2 linked regions of the Bombyx mori genome follow. The protein of the gene in region 1 purifies or fractionates together with the protein of each later gene. This does not show direct contact. Links are inferred from orthologs where the notes say so. Each region holds a gene or a part of one and is shown on either strand. Other genes may lie near its edges. The genes, in order: Cpr and ER membrane protein complex subunit 4.

What was found.
Region 2: the proteins of Cpr (region 1) and ER membrane protein complex subunit 4 purify together in Homo sapiens (affinity purification with mass spectrometry; 3 studies listed by BioGRID and IntAct, with this or other methods). This does not show direct contact. The link is inferred for Bombyx mori from reciprocal best matches to the Homo sapiens genes POR and EMC4.

What each region holds. Positions count from the first base shown.
Region 1 is NC_085116.1:8,006,352-8,014,845, reverse strand, and holds the end of Cpr (NADPH cytochrome P450 reductase), read left to right. Parts: intron 1-3,347; coding exon 3,348-3,505; intron 3,506-3,943; coding exon 3,944-4,088; exon of another isoform or gene 4,089-4,089; 3' UTR 4,090-5,265; downstream 5,266-8,494. UniProt on the Homo sapiens protein: This enzyme is required for electron transfer from NADP to cytochrome P450 in microsomes. It can also provide electron transfer to heme oxygenase and cytochrome B5.
Region 2 is NC_085110.1:12,130,788-12,138,478, reverse strand, and holds ER membrane protein complex subunit 4, read right to left. Parts: upstream 3,052-7,691; 5' UTR 2,876-3,051; coding exon 2,820-2,875; intron 2,746-2,819; coding exon 2,283-2,745; 3' UTR 2,168-2,282; downstream 1-2,167. UniProt on the Homo sapiens protein: Part of the endoplasmic reticulum membrane protein complex (EMC) that enables the energy-independent insertion into endoplasmic reticulum membranes of newly synthesized membrane proteins.

The sequences.
Region 1 (8,494 bases):
GGTCAACTGTATTGTGGTATATTAGAAGAGTTTAGTGAATCACTGGACCCGACCGTGTCTTTGTAGTTTTGTTTTTCTACCTAATCGCCTAGTAGCTTTAGGGCACAGATAACGGAAAAGATAGGGTTATCTGTGCTTTAAGGGCTCTTCCAGCTACGCTACAACTGGTAAGTGAGCTCACGGACTCATCATGAGATAATTTGCTAACACTAGCCCTAGCAAGAGCGATGCTTTGCGGAATCTACCACCGAATCGAAATCGTGACCCACTGAGAAGATCCGGCGAGAAACTCAGTGGGCTAATTATGTATCCGCTGCATTATATTACACGCTTAATCTACCAAACCTATAGTGATTTCTATTATTGTAATACCAAAGCCGTAATCGTTGACAGAATTATGTCGTTTTTATGAACGTTATCTTGAAGCAATTTGTCCTTAAACACATTAGGGAACGTACCCATACTACGTGACCAATTTTTTTAGTTTTTTCGACCTCTCCCTCCCCTCGATGATCACTCGTAGTATATGCCAAGACCCCCCCTCTCCCCTTTTAGTTTTCACGTAGTAATTCACAATTATGATTTTTAATCATTTCACAGGCAATTCTATTAATAATAGATGTTCTTCATTTTCAATAGTTTTCTATCTTTAGTTTTTAGATTTTCAATAGTAATAAAATATGTGCTTGCTAAACTAAGGAGACAAGATTGAATAATTCATGCGGAAATAAGTTCCACGAGTTCATTCGAACATGAAACTTTTCGCTATTGTTTCGTGTGAATTAAAATTTATAATGTTTTTCGAATAAATTAATTATAATTATTTTAACATTGGAGTACATTCATTTTATTTCATATTCGCGATTTATTTTTCATTGTATTTTTCTTGACAATTGTAACTAATTAATTTACAGCTTGTCATAATTAATAATGCTCGGATTTTATTATTATTAATCAAAACAAACTGTAGATATGTCAGATATGGTGATACACCATCAGATTCGGATTTTTCCTTTTTTTTAATGTATAGACTAGTGAATGAGCTCACGGCCCACCTGGTGTTAAGTGGTTACCGGATCGATCTCGTGGACATCACATTGTGAATGTTGCTCCCCACCTTTTGAGCCTAGTCACATGAGTTCGAAGTCTAATAATATTAGAATAACTGCGAATACTCGTGTTTTAGTTGGACGGTTAAACAATAACCTTGAATGAAAGACACTTTTGCGACAGACACCGATATTAGACTTTACAGAAAACCAAAGATAAATGGTTCATCCAAATTTTTACTCGGTATAATATTGTGGTATAATATTCATAACACAATATTTTATAATGAATTTTAGATAGATCGTCTTGATGATTTTAACACAGCATTTTTTTTAAATCTAAATAAGGTTAGTGAAGAATATCGTTCAATAGAGTACAGATATTGATTGAATTAATATTCTTTCTCCAGTTTAATCTCGTGTTTATTTTTGTCTTCGTATTATTACGGACGTTTAAAATACTTTTTACAGTTTTCGTGAGCATACACGACTAAGCTTTTATTTGTCATCTGTAGTTTAAGCTAACTACCGTCTAATTTTTAATACAACCAAATAATTTTCACTACAAACACCAAAGAAAATAAATACTTCATCAAATCACACAATCAAATTCATTTGTTTATTGGCCCTTAATAATTTCTTTGAAATTAAGTTATAACGCAATCGATCGAACGATTATATGAATAAGGAAATTTAATAGGAATTTATTTCTGTTTGATCTCCCTTTTGTATAGTTAAATCCAACCTCTGCTTCCTTGAGGGATCACTCACCTCTTAGAAATAATACGTCATTGTTTATCAGCACAAAAACTATTCTTTGTTCTCTTTTTTTTAGCACGATTCCAAAGTCTACTACGTGTTTTTTGCAATAATCAAGACAGGTATAAAAATACATTACAAACAAATAGACACGAGAGGAAAATGAAAAGCAATATTATCGATGCGATCTGAGCGACGCATCGATTTCCTATTTCTGTTATATACAGTCTTTAATTTGTCACATAAAGACTAATAAATATCTCAAAAGCAATAAATAAAGTCCATTCTCATTTACCACACCGCAACATAATATGCAAACTCGTTTTGAAGCATGAAGATTATTTATTTGATTAAAAAAAAATCTGAGTACTTGTCAGATCAAAACATTTTAAATTTTTGAACGGGTTTTTGAAGGGAAAAGGAACGCTCTGTTCCTTTTCAGAAAAACGGAAGTTGGAGCAAAATTTTTATAATGAAATCGAACATTAACTTTATCAGATTACTAGCGACCCGCCCTCGCTTCGCTTCGGAAACTGTAACTTATTATTGATTTCTCCACTATTTACTGGATGTTATTATACATATAAACCTTCCTCTTCAATCACTCTATCTATTAAAAAAACCGCATCAAAATCCGTTGCGCAGTTTTTAAGATTTAAGCATACATAGGGATATAGGGACAGAGAAAGCGACTTTGTTTTATACTATGTAGTGATAGTGCGTTCTCTGTCTAGGATAAAATGAAAACGTGCTTAATTTCTTTGTTTCCTAATTAATTTTAGTTGGTTTTTCGTTGAGCGACTATACTTATGTTAAGCTTAGTCAATAAAAATAATTACTCGGATTGTTTCAATTGAATGAAAAGATTGCGATCGAAACTTTAGATGTAACGATTTTTAACCGTACTATACGCAATTTTCTTATTGGTCTTGACCTTTAAAAAACTTTGAAATTTTGTAGTTAAATATTTAAATATCGCTTAAGTACCAATTTAAGTAAACGGTCTGACCTTGTTCAGTTTCAAACTGTTGTTATAACATTCTCGCGTGTTAAATTATTAATTTTTGAATGATGTTGTTTGTTGTTGCGTCTTTTGTTAAATTGAAGTTGGTACGTTTGTACAGTTGCGGTTGTTATACACCATAACGCCAACTCGTGATAAAAGGTACGCGTCAATAAACGGGTGTCTAAGATAATATATTTATTGACTAGCTGACCCGGCAGACTTCGCAGTGCCTCAATCGATAAATAAAAAACCTAAACTTTTGTATAAAATAAACTTAAAATAAACAAAAGGAATCCGTCGGACGGGGGACACATCAAAGGAAAAACAAAATTGTTATTTTTATTTAATTCCGAGCATTTTCATATTTATCTACCTTTTAAACCTTCTCTGGACTTCCACAAATAATACAAGACCAAAATTAGCCAAATCGGTCCAGCTGTTCTCGAGTTTTAGCGAGACTAACGAACAGCAATTCATTTTTATATATGTAGATGGTAATTTATACTAATACAGTCAAACTAATTATGTTACAGGAACTAGAGGAATACGAAAAGAATGGTGACGTAAAACTGAACTTAGCATTTTCACGCGACCAAGCGAACAAAGTTTACGTTACACATTTACTCGAAAATAATATGGACGAACTATGGGATGTTATCGGAAATAGGAATGGAAATTTCTACATTTGCGGGTAATGTATATTTATTTTATAGGTTGGTAAAATAAAAGAGATATATTGCGTGGCAGAGAGGATAAATAATGTGATGGAATGGCAGTTAACGCATGATACAAGGTGAAGATGATACGCGCGGCTGTTGGTGATTCCATTGCGCAGTCTATTCTATGTATTTAGATTGCCGTGATCGACTGGTTGGCCGCCCCAGCTCTAGTTATATGAATAATATTATGATAGCAGTTTTTAATGTTTTTTTTTATTGCTCTTGAAGGCAGACGAGTATACGGCCCATCTGATGGTCAGTGGTTACCGTCGCCCATGGACTTCAGCAGTGCCAGGGGCAGAGCCAAGCCGCTGCCTATCAAACTCGATTCGACTGAAGGGATCGATAACTCATATGCGCTCTGGTTGTTATTGTAAATGCTAATTTGGAAAATATTATTTATTCTTCAGTGACGCGAAAAACATGGCTGTGGACGTAAGGAACATTGTGTTGAAAGCTATAAAAGAGAAAGGCGGCCGCACAGAGACGGAGGCCGTGCAGTTCCTCAAGAAGTTAGAATCCGTCAAGAAATATTCTTCGGACGTTTGGAGTTAAACTCCTGCACTGAGATCGTTCACTCGAAGAAACTTCCTGTTCTATAAGAATGAAATGCTGGCAAAGTTTATAAAGATAGGCCTTAACGATTGTGATGCGAAACTCGTAAACTAATCTGTACAAGAGAACAGTGAATTTCGGGAAATTTGAACAAACTAAATAATATAATAGAGTAAAATGTTCAGCAACATTTAAATCTGATAAACAGGTAGTTCAAATATGTTAATGTACCTTAAATCAGTAAATAACAAAAGCATTAGAAAGTCATGAAATAAAATGTTCTAACAACATGTACGTATGGTACATGAGTGTAGTAAATTAATTATTATATACGGGCTTGCTGGTTGTGAGACCGGGAAAATGAATGGTTTGGATGGATTTTTTTTTAATTATTATTGGCATTGTTGTCAACTGTAGTGTTTACATGACAATTCGACTAATTCAGATCTACGTAGTTCTTGCAAAATATTATGTTGTTGTTCAAATAACAGCTTCAATAAATTTGTAATTTGGTATAATTATAGAAAGGACAAAAACCGCATAGTGAGACAAATTGCAAATTAAATCTCATTTAATCATTATTTAATTCGTATAGCTAGCGTAAGATTTACTTTCAATATATTTATTAATGTGATGATATAGTTATGAATGGATAAGTAGCTCATTTTTATTGGCCAAATAATAACTATTATATTATTTTAATACGGAATGAAGACATCATTAAATCTTAAAAATGCTGGGCCCGCTCTAGGCTAAAAAATAGGTTTGAAAATGTACATTAATGATTCCAAATTGACCTAATAATACAATTTAAAAATATAGTTTGTACAATTTTCAATCTGTAAATAATTGCCTATTAACAAATCCAGTGAATAATATCTATTCAAAATTATTGGGTGTATCAGATTTTAAACGTAAAACGTAAATTGACTTTTATACTGTTGTTAATGTTAATTGTTATTTTAAATACGTTTTTATATTTATACATACAGGGTCTGGTCGATAAATAAACTATTGAAATAATAATATAATAATATATGGTACATTTAATATCAAGAAGGCTGTCGTAAAAATACTACATAAAATGTTACATTTTTATTTGTGTAAGTGGACATGGGACATAAGTATACGTACTTTTATAACAATTACGAATTTATAATAAAAATTGATAAACCCTAATTGTGTCTTTATTTGCAACGTATTCAAGTTTTTTTTATTCCAAGGCTAAAATGGCCAAATTCCAGTCATAATTTGTTTCACTTAATAGCGTTAACAATTGACAACATACGAGAGCATTGAGTGGGATTCTTTACTCTTGAGATACCTACCCACCCACCCAGCGTAGGCGCAGGCTGATGAGACACTATATGTCACCCAGGTGCTTACCTACCTACCTAGTGCTAAAATAATAGTAATCTAACTTATTTTTATTACACACAATATAGGACTGTCTGTAAGCCATCAGTGTTAAGAGGTAACCGGAACTGATAAAATAAAAATGTGTTTTTTTATTCAAATAAGGTACAAAGTACGATTTAAAAGTGCATGTGAATCTGAAGAAATCTTCATAACTTCACGTCACATTTGGAACGCAATTGCAACATATCGGCTGCCCCAACTTTCAATCGGAACACATTAGCAGTAGGCAGGGAATGGCTATACCTCTGGCATTTCTAAAATCAATGCGCGACTATGACTACTTATCTTTACTTATTTGCTTACAATACTGATAAATTGCACGTTCCATCATATCTTTCAAATGCCTTAACATATTTAATTGTTTGAGATATTGTTAGAATCTTTACATCATCCCGAGTGATACATAAATTTTGAGGTCGTCGTGGCCTAAAGGATAAGACGGCCGGTGCATTAAGGTCGTCGTGGCTTAAGGGATAAGACGTCCGGTGCATTCGTGTCTAGCGATGCACCGGTATTCGAATCCTGCAGGCGGATACCAATGAAGGAATAACATCGTGTAATAAAAATCAAATCCGCAAAATTATAATTTTCGTAATTACTGGTGGTGGGAGGTCTTGAGTCCGCACGGGTAGGTACCACCACCCTGCCTATTTGTGCCGTGAAGCAGTAGGTAATGCGTTTCGGTCTGAAGGGTGGGGCAGCCGTTGTAACTATACCGAGACCTTAGAATTTATGTCTCAAGGTGGGTAGCGTATTTACGTTGTAGATGTCTACGGGTTCTAGTAACCACTTAACACCAGGTGGGCTGTGAGCTCGTCCAGCCATTTAAACAATAAAAAAACAAAAAAACAAAATGTACTTATTTTTGGTAGGGGGCCCGCTAGAGCAATCTTCATTTCCTAAAAATTTCATCGATGTCGGTGCAGCCGTTTCAGTCTTTTGGGCACATATTTTTAGGACGTCATCATAGTAGCTGACAAGACGTTCCGCTTGCAGTAGATACTGTTAGAGAACGGATATGGAATAAGAATATTTTTTTAGGATGGAGGGATTGTTGATGGCTCTGACGACTTCCAATTCAATTCGAAGCCAGCATATTTTTCTGCAGCTCTTCTAAGCGTCATTTTTCCGGAATTTGTCATTTTATCTTGTTACCTGATATTAAGTGTCGTACCTATACAGACCACATTTTGATTTTATGATGTTGGTGTTGACAGACGGAATTAACATCCAAACACGGGTCCTTGTTATATATAGTAAATTGAAGTTTTAGGCTTTATTGTTGCGAGTTCACGGTCTCCCTGGTTTTAAATGGATATGAAGATCCATAGAGATATCGGGCGGTATTCCCAGAGCCATTCTATTTCGATTATTTCATTCTTGAGCAGGAACGTAATTGCCTCGATTCATAAATATACATGGTTAAACGAACCCATGTCTTAGGACAGCATTTAAAAAAAAAAAAAAGGACAGCCTTTACAGTTTTATCGAAATAGATAAGAGAGCACGGCTCGACCAGGAAGGGTGGAAATTACTAACTTCGAGGCATTTGTTATCGAATGTTTTTTCTAAGGAATAAAACCACAAGAATGGAATTTTATGAATAAAATTTCCATACATTTTTAAAACGATAATTTATTGATTTAACCGCAAATATATTAGTTTATGTACAAGTTAGGGACGTCAACAAAATGCAAACAGACAGCCTGTATTGTATCCATACATCAACTTGAGAGTCGATTAAAATTTAATACAGTTCGGCTGACTTATTTATACTATGATAATCAAACAGCTAAAAACTGCACACTTCAAAATTATGGAAGTTTTTTTAATACTAAATTTACCAGATAAGCCAAGTACACTACACATAACGCAATACAAGCGAATCAATAAAACAAACTAACTCTCAACACATTAAATACTGCAATAAACCGTAAAGAACATTCAAGTATCAAATTTTCCTATGACTACTCAATTTCTACTATGTACATGAATTTATACTAATTTCTAACACGAATTCAGGATTTTATTAACGCTCATTATAAAATCGTTATGAACATTCGTATGCCAAAAGATACTTGTAGCGTAATTAAAAAGTGCCATCTTAAAGAAAACAAATTATAAGACATCGACTGATGTTGAGTTTGATATTTTAAATTTGGTTCAACATTACAAAAAAGGTCAACCGTTAGGCATGTTTAAAATTGTCAAATTAAGTACATACTGTGTACATTTTACATGAGTGCAAAAAAATGTCTGATTAAAACAAATTCGATGTAACGGCTTCATTCATACAATTACATCAACGAGCACGCAATTAAGTTTATAACAATTTACACATACTTTAAAAATTGTAACAACTGTACATAACTATACAATTTCAGTCTTTACTCATTATAAACAATTACTTGAAAATTTTTTCAGTTAACCCTTTTAGACTTTTCCAGAAGATTATTATAGAAAGTTAAAAGTAACATAATTGTGACAAAACAATAAAAGCTCTCGTATGAATGACGGATGCAGTAAATTTGCAAGTATGTAGAAAAAAAATGCACAAGAGTTAAACAGTGAGAACGAAAGGCACATTTTTAAGGCATAACAACCAGTTTAAGTATCCGAAATCAGAAACATTTTATTCAGACTGTTTAATCCCTATTTAAGGGAATTGTGGAAAATGATGGCCATGAGACATAATATTATTACGTTATAATGAGCATCCTGAATTTATTCAAAAGCTCTAACTTATCGCCTCAGTAAAACCGCCCTTATAGGGGGCAAATGCACTATTATAATTCTAAAATAAACTACAAAATCCTCACTCATTTATCGTTTAAAATTTCGAGTTCCAGTTATGGGAGGGAGGAGCTTTTGTAAAGATAAAATGACGTAGCAAACATTAGTAACAACCTTAAATCGATCCACTAATGTGTAAACTGATGTACCATTTTGAAGTAGGTAACGCTGAAGCATTCTTGTAGAAACTAATA
Region 2 (7,691 bases), on another chromosome or scaffold:
TTCCTGGCCTACTAAGTTGTCTATTATTGTCCGCACTAGACAGTCACTCATAATAACAACGTAGGCAACGTTATGCATAGTTTCTACTTCCTTCAAGTAGCAAAATGTTGCATCGTCCGTCAGATTCGTTTTACATGGGCACGGAAATGCCCAACAAGGGCCCAAAAATGTTTCAGTTGACTACAAAGTCAGCAGGCTTTGTTTGTAAAAGTACTTAGAAATTCTTCATTCTCCTCAAATTCCGATGTATTCCAGGATGGATTTGCTTTTGAAGTACTACCTCCATCCATTAATTCGGTTAGTGTTCGGTAATGCGGTTTGAATCCTATCATTGCCTTTTTTAAACCCCTTTTTCATAACCAACTCGTTTGGTTTTTCCCTCGACACCTACGTGTCCACTTACACAAACTAGGTGCGACTCATTGCTTAGATACTTTCTTCTTTATTAAAGAATGAACTTCGGCGTCTTTGCGGAATTTGTTCTATAAGTCTTAGAATTTAGAGTGTTTTATTCTTATGTTTACTACAATCTCCGACATGCATTGGTCGTACATTTCTACTGTAAGGACATCGGTTCTCGTCGGATTAAAAGCTTCCTAAGTGCCAATTTTGCCCAACCTAATGCTTGCATTTTTACTACATACATATAAACTACATACGGTCAACAATAATTTAAAAATTGAAATGTCAATGTCACATACCTTGAAATATGTAAAATTTGACAAATAATACGAAAAATGTCTTGAACAACACCAAAAGATATTTCTTGTATTTTGAAAATATATATAGAATGGGCTTTTTCTTTTCTATCGTTAAAACCTCTGTAAGTTTATTCTACACATTATATAATTAATAATTAACATAATTTAAATACCCGTAAATGTATGAAAATGCTAACGGTATCAGTACTAATTAAGATTATAAAAATTTAAAAGTTTGAGCCTGACCTAATTCATTATGGTTATTGTAAACAAGTGAAAAATTGTGAAAAATGGAGTAACGTCGATCGCCATTGAATGTAATAAATAATATTTTTTAAGAGATTTTATGACCTGGTAACTAAGACCTTTAGGTGATTTCTTATTTTAGTATAAATTCTTATTTTTATGAAAAATGCTCATATGGAGTTAAATAAAATAAAGATGTTTAATTTGAGACATTAATCAACTGGGATGAAATTAAATGAAATGGGATGAAATATAATCTCAGTATAATGGTGGTCATTAACTGAGATTTTTTCAGTGGACTTTTTAGAGGATCCCGAGAAGTTAGGTCCAGCGGCTTTGTTTCGTTTTCCTACATTTGTGCACTCTCACCGATATTAAACAGTTAATAAACCTCCGTTATTAGACATTTAAATCTGAAGAAACACTAAATAGACAAAATAAAATAAATCACACAACTTCACTCCTCGCGTTCCCACCAAAAAAATCCAAGTAATAATAAAATACACAGTTGCATGTAAACATATTTTTGTGTATAAATGTAAATTAAATAGACATGCTTGCTTCCGTGCTGAAACACTAATGACAGATAAAATCAATAAATTTCATTGATAGATCTAGTTCTACTATTGCATAATATAATGTTACCTTCTTAATTGTTTTTCAGATAATATTTGGTGCAGGAGTTTACACCGGTGTCTATGTAGCACAAAATTATCAGGTACAATTATCATTTTTACAGAACACAAAGGAGGCCAGACACATGTATTTGTAGTTGATTGGTCACCTAATAATTGAACATCTCTGTCCATTATAATCCTGGTTCAGTAAATTTATTTATTTAGTAAAATTACATGGCCTCTTTTGTTCTAACACCAATTTATCAGTATAAAATTGTTAAAAATTAACAAGCTGCTTTTAAATTCAGGATGCAGTCCAAGTAATTTGTCAGAAATCTGTACAGAACTGTGACAAGGCTATGGAAAAAAAGAAATGGTTTGTTTTTTTTCTTGTTTATTGAGCCAGGAAATAGTTGTGAGAACCTTGCATTTTATGATATTGTTTCAATTAAATTTGAATTTTCCTTACAGATAGAAAAAGTAGAAGATCCTAAAGCACTGTTTGAAAAGGCACAAGCTTTCGTGAAATCAAAACTTTCTGAAGTACAAGATGGAAAAAAAGATTAAAATTAGGAAAATGGGAACAGGAATTATGAAATAAAATTGTTATTAATTGTTTGTACATATTTATTATTAGTTTTACAATAATAGTATAATAAATACAATTCAAACTGTGAATCTTTTAAACTAACATTTTTCCCTAGTAACTAAATTAAATTCATATAAGTGATAAACCACCTCCAATATGTTCGAGTCTTGTTTGAGGCTCTTCAAATGCCAACCAATCACTTGAGTGAGTTGGTAACAATCCCATACTCTGACACTTATAGAGTGCTAAAAGAATGTTTACTATATTTCCGATACAATAAACAATTTTTTGTCCGATAGCTTGTGTACCTTCAACCATTTTGAAAGTACTTTGTGTAGCAAACAGCGCCTTCACCGGCCTCACTATTAACATGCCAACCATCATTATTGGAAATATAGAGATAGAGTTACCAGCCATGTACATAATAAAAAGATTCATGGGTACTTGTTTCAAAGGGCCCAATGCCACATCCCATAGTTTTTTAATGAGGAGTAAATTTGAGTCCGAATCTTTTGATGATTCGGCATAATTAGCGTTTGAAGACTGACTGTAACCTGGGGGTGAGGGCAGTTCTGTTGAAAGTTGTTTATTCCTGGAAACATTGCAATTTGAAATAAATTTGATAAGTATTTGTGTATTAAACTGTTTAAGAAACGCATTACTTACTTTTGATTAAAATCTAAAGCCCATTTAAGTTTTTTATTTGATTTGAGCTGAGACATTGTTACGATCCACGTGAAAAATAGTAATAATAAATAAAGTAACTTAAGGTTTACTTGAGAAACAGCGGTACAATAATTATATCTATTGAGTACTATTTTATCACTGAAAATCGTAATTCGGAATCTTGAAATATTTATTTTCTACGTGATAATCGTATATGTCACAGACTTTTTTAATTTCATTCGTCCTTTAGACAAGCATGGGAAATAATGCCCAAACAGCCTTATCCAGTATTGTAAAGCCAAAGCTTTCTTTGAAGAGTGTTGAGTGATTGAGATATAAAGAGCGATGTTATGAAAATTGTTTTGACCATACCGCTGTAATTATTCACACATCGATTTATATGATTGTTTATTAATTATTTAATATTTGTGAAAATACATGGAGGAGGTAATTAAATAAATCGGTACAACAGGAAACGCAATCTCATGTATGGAAAATTTTACACAATACAACGCTATTCATTTGCTACAAATTTAATGTCTCATGTTTTGCATTTTTTCTAACTGCAAACCCCAATTTAAATAGTTATTTACACTATAAAACCCATAAAAATAAAATTAATTCATTTATTTCGATATTGAAACTATGATGATCTTTTATTCGCTTTTATCTTTTCCGCTAACTTCCACAACATCGAAAGCTTAACCAAATCGACAGCCTTTTAGTCAAATTACCAACTTAAGCATATTTTTTTCTCCTACCGACGCCGAAAGTTCGGTTTTCGTCCCGCTGTACAGGGAAGAAAGTGTAACTTTTTCTCCCTGGATACAAGTGCGCATGCGCGTTAGTATCTACGTCTGCTCTCACGCACCTGAAATTCTCCGCCATTGTTGTGCTCGGGTAATTTGCAATATTGTGTTAAACAAAGATAAGTTCATCAGACAGTTCTTATTCAATTAGTAGTAGTTTATTTAAAAATTAAAAAGCAGTTAAATGGTTTTTTTTATGAGTATGGGGGGTGTCCGCCCCCCCCCTACCCCCCACCAGGGCTTCGCCCCTGGACCCCACCGGGGCGTCGCCCCCGGACCCCGACTCGGTACTCCACGAACTTTCAGCCTGGTAGGAGAAAAAATAGTATGTGCACCGCGAGACAAAAGTTGGATTCTTTTCTCCCTTGGTGCACAATGTATTATTTTATGCCAAGATATATTAATAGTTTTCTAAAAATAATAAATAAATAATATAATAAACATTTAGAAGTCTACTTGGAAAGAGGCAGAAAGAAGCAACGTTTCTGTCCATGACATATGACCTAGGGTATAATTACCGAGATGGATAAATTTTAAAACCCCTTGATCTAAATGTTAGAATTTAGACCAACATCTGTTTTGTATATCTTTGCCTTTCTAAAGTGTGTGAAATACATAGAGTTACTATCCTAACTGGAGTGCTTACTTCGTTTGACATAAAAACAAAAAATATACTTTATCTCTATGACTTAAAGTTTATTTTTAAATAGCAAAAGATGTAAGGAAAAACGGTCTGAAAAGAGAATGATTATTAAGTGGTGGTGTCCCTCTCGCACATTTTACAAACAAAAAGCAGTGTTGCTAGCTTAGAGGATTTTCCACAAAATCTCGTAATTTGGACCCCTATCTTACTTATAAAAAATGGCATTTAGTGGTTAGTGGATTTTTTAGTAGCTTGGGCGTTGTTGAAAATTATCGAAAAGGTTAAAATCAATCCACTTTACAGGATTTTAAACATTTTATGACAATAATATATCTAAATACATATTATTTAAACGATGTGACTTTGACTTAAACTTAACTAGAAAATGTTGCGAGAATTTAGAATTTCCATCAACGTAAAAAATTGAATTGGTCCAAAATAAACGTACAAAGTTATGGTGAAATTAGTTTCTGATGATGACAATTTATTAAAATAAATTATATGAGAAGTATTGATTATATGATATATATTGATTTTTAATAGAACATCATATATTAATAAAGCTCGTTAACAAAAAAATTATTGTTCTATATTAATAAGAACTCTGTTTAATGGAAAATTTAATGGTAGGTACGTAGATTTCTGATGGTTTTCATGTTGAATTTGGTGGGAAGCCAGATTAATTGTTGGCATCACCGAAAAAGAGCTATGAATGGATTAAAAGAAAAATGGCGTCTATTTACGTTTGTAGTTTGAAGTTAAAAGGGCACTGATACAGCTTGTGGCTTGTTTTTTTTCGAAAATCGTGAAAGTTTCCGTGTAATCATGGTGAACACTTGTATTGTAAGTGGTTATAAGCGAGAATCCTCTCCAGTTTGTGGAATATCCTTCCATATGTCAGATTCATTGATAAATTTTTACTAGTGTGAGCATATATTTTTAAAATGTGAGATATTTTTTCTCATTATAATATTTAATACCATTTGTCTTGTAAATTGTACTTAATCTATGTCATATACTAAATTTGGAAAAACAATCGTGAAAACTATAATTTTGCAATGTATTTTTCATATTATAAGAGCCATCATGTGGTATTTTTTGAACTTTTTTATTGTATTGAATAGCGTTGCACGCAAGCATGTATATCATTTGCCTGACGTTAAGCGAACGAGGAGGATCTTCTAGTAAGTATAACGTTGGAATTTCTGGAAAATGTCCTATATAAAGGTCAAACAAGAGGAATCAAGTACTCAAACGCAAGAAATAAAAAATACCCCGAGAAAAGCAAAATTACGACAAGATGTTAAGGTATTGAAACAAAAACTTAAAAGATTTATTAAAGAAAAATGGCAATTTTTAATTGAATTGAAATTTAAATTGCGAAATTTTAATGATACTCATGGTCCATTTAGATATTAATTAAAATAAATTATGTATTTCGTTGAAAAAAAAGAATTTACTTAAAATAGAGGAAATGTTATATTATAAGACTACAGAAAATTAACTGAACTTAATAATAACAATAATATAACCAATATTTTGTAAATAGAGATCAAGTACTATGTGTATTGTGTTATGTGTATTGACTTGTCATTTAAGAGTTATTTAATTGTCTACATATAACAAATAAATGAATTTTAGTTAATTTCATTTTATTACCCATTGTGTTTTATTTCCTAAAATGCAACTAGTAGACTTAATATACACGTGTCATGAAAATAGCACAGAAGTAAAAATACAAGTAATTTTAAATCAATTGAAGATGTGAATGTAGGAAAAGAGCACCCGATAATGTGTGTTGCAGTGTCTCACTCAGTGTGTCAAATATTAATTTGCACAGCCCACTTAGCCAGTACATTAAAGTAGGAATTGCGTAATTAAGTTCAACATAATATTTAAGTCGCGGTTGAGTATTCGGACGTTAAACATGAATTTGAGGAAGTTTAAGTAATAGAACTGAGGTAATGATGTTTGTAATAAAACTCAGTGCTAGATTTTCGACAACGCAGCAATTTCCAAAAAAAAACGTCGAAAAAAAGTTAAAATGACGACGAAGAAATGTTTAGAATTGAATTTACATAAATAAACTATTGCAAGCACGTGTTTTGTATTTACATAGGGCTACACAGAATTACTTAAGGTAAATTCAAAACTGATGCATGTGTATAATTTTGTCCTATAAATAAATTTTATATGGTCACCACATTAGACAAGGACACCGCGACCAAAAAGTATTCTCTTTCGAGACCGATTTCTCGGCATTAGACAGCACTCCAGTTGTAGGTACTTATTAACTCCATGGTGAAATATAACATCTAAAAAATATTAACGTAAACCATATTGTCCAGGACTTTTTGGCGGGAAGTCAAACCTATTAGGCGGAATTTTTTGAAAGAAAATTTTCACAAATTGTTTTTACCAGGAATTTGTAACCAGGCATATAATCTCACTATTTATAGGTGCGCTTCAACATGAGGGGCAAGCGCAAAAAGCGCAAAGCCGACGATCTACATCAAGATGTGGCAAGTGTCGACGACTCAGATACTTCGACCGATACTGCTGAAACTGATAAGTATACCATTTATAAATCGGAAAATTACTGCCGTCAGTATCCAGAAGATGGCGGTAATTTTGAATATATTGTAATATATGAAAGTTCCGAAACCAGGCCAATAGGCGACAGAGACCTCATGTCCCTTGGCGCTTCATTGAAACGAGGCAACAAGGGCATAAAAAGATTTAAGAGAATAAACAAATACAAAATCGGAGCTATATTCGAGCGGCCAGGGTTAGCTAATAGCGCCCTATATAATACCAAAACATTAAAGGACCTGCACCTAAAAGCATCAATTCCCGCTTTACTCACTGAAACTACTGGTGTAATTCGAAATGTTCCCACTTATATGTCGAACAAAAACATATATAATGGATTATCAAGTTCCAGAGATGTAGTTTCCGTGCGTCGACTTATGCGTCGAGGCCGCGATGAGGACGGCAAATCGTGTTTGCTGCCCACCCAAACAGTTGCCTTAACTTTCGCCTGCCCTACATTACCAGACAGTGTTGATATAGATTCATGGTACTTCGAGGTAAGCCTATACATTCCACCAGTTAGCCAATGCCTGCGTTGTCTACGCTACGGTCATATCGGCAAATTTTGTAAGAATTCGCAAAAATGCACCATCTGCGGTGAAGAACACCTATACAGAGACTGCCCTAAAGATCCCAAGGAAGCCATTTGTGTTCACTGCAGTGGCAATCACATAGCAATTTCTTCAGATTGCCCTATTAAGAAAAAAAAAATTGAAGAAAATAGAACTAAATACCAAAAAGTTGCATACGCCGATTTATTCAATGAGAAGTCTTTTCCAACATTAAACAAGTCTAAACCAACTGATAATATAAAAAACCTCCTACAGT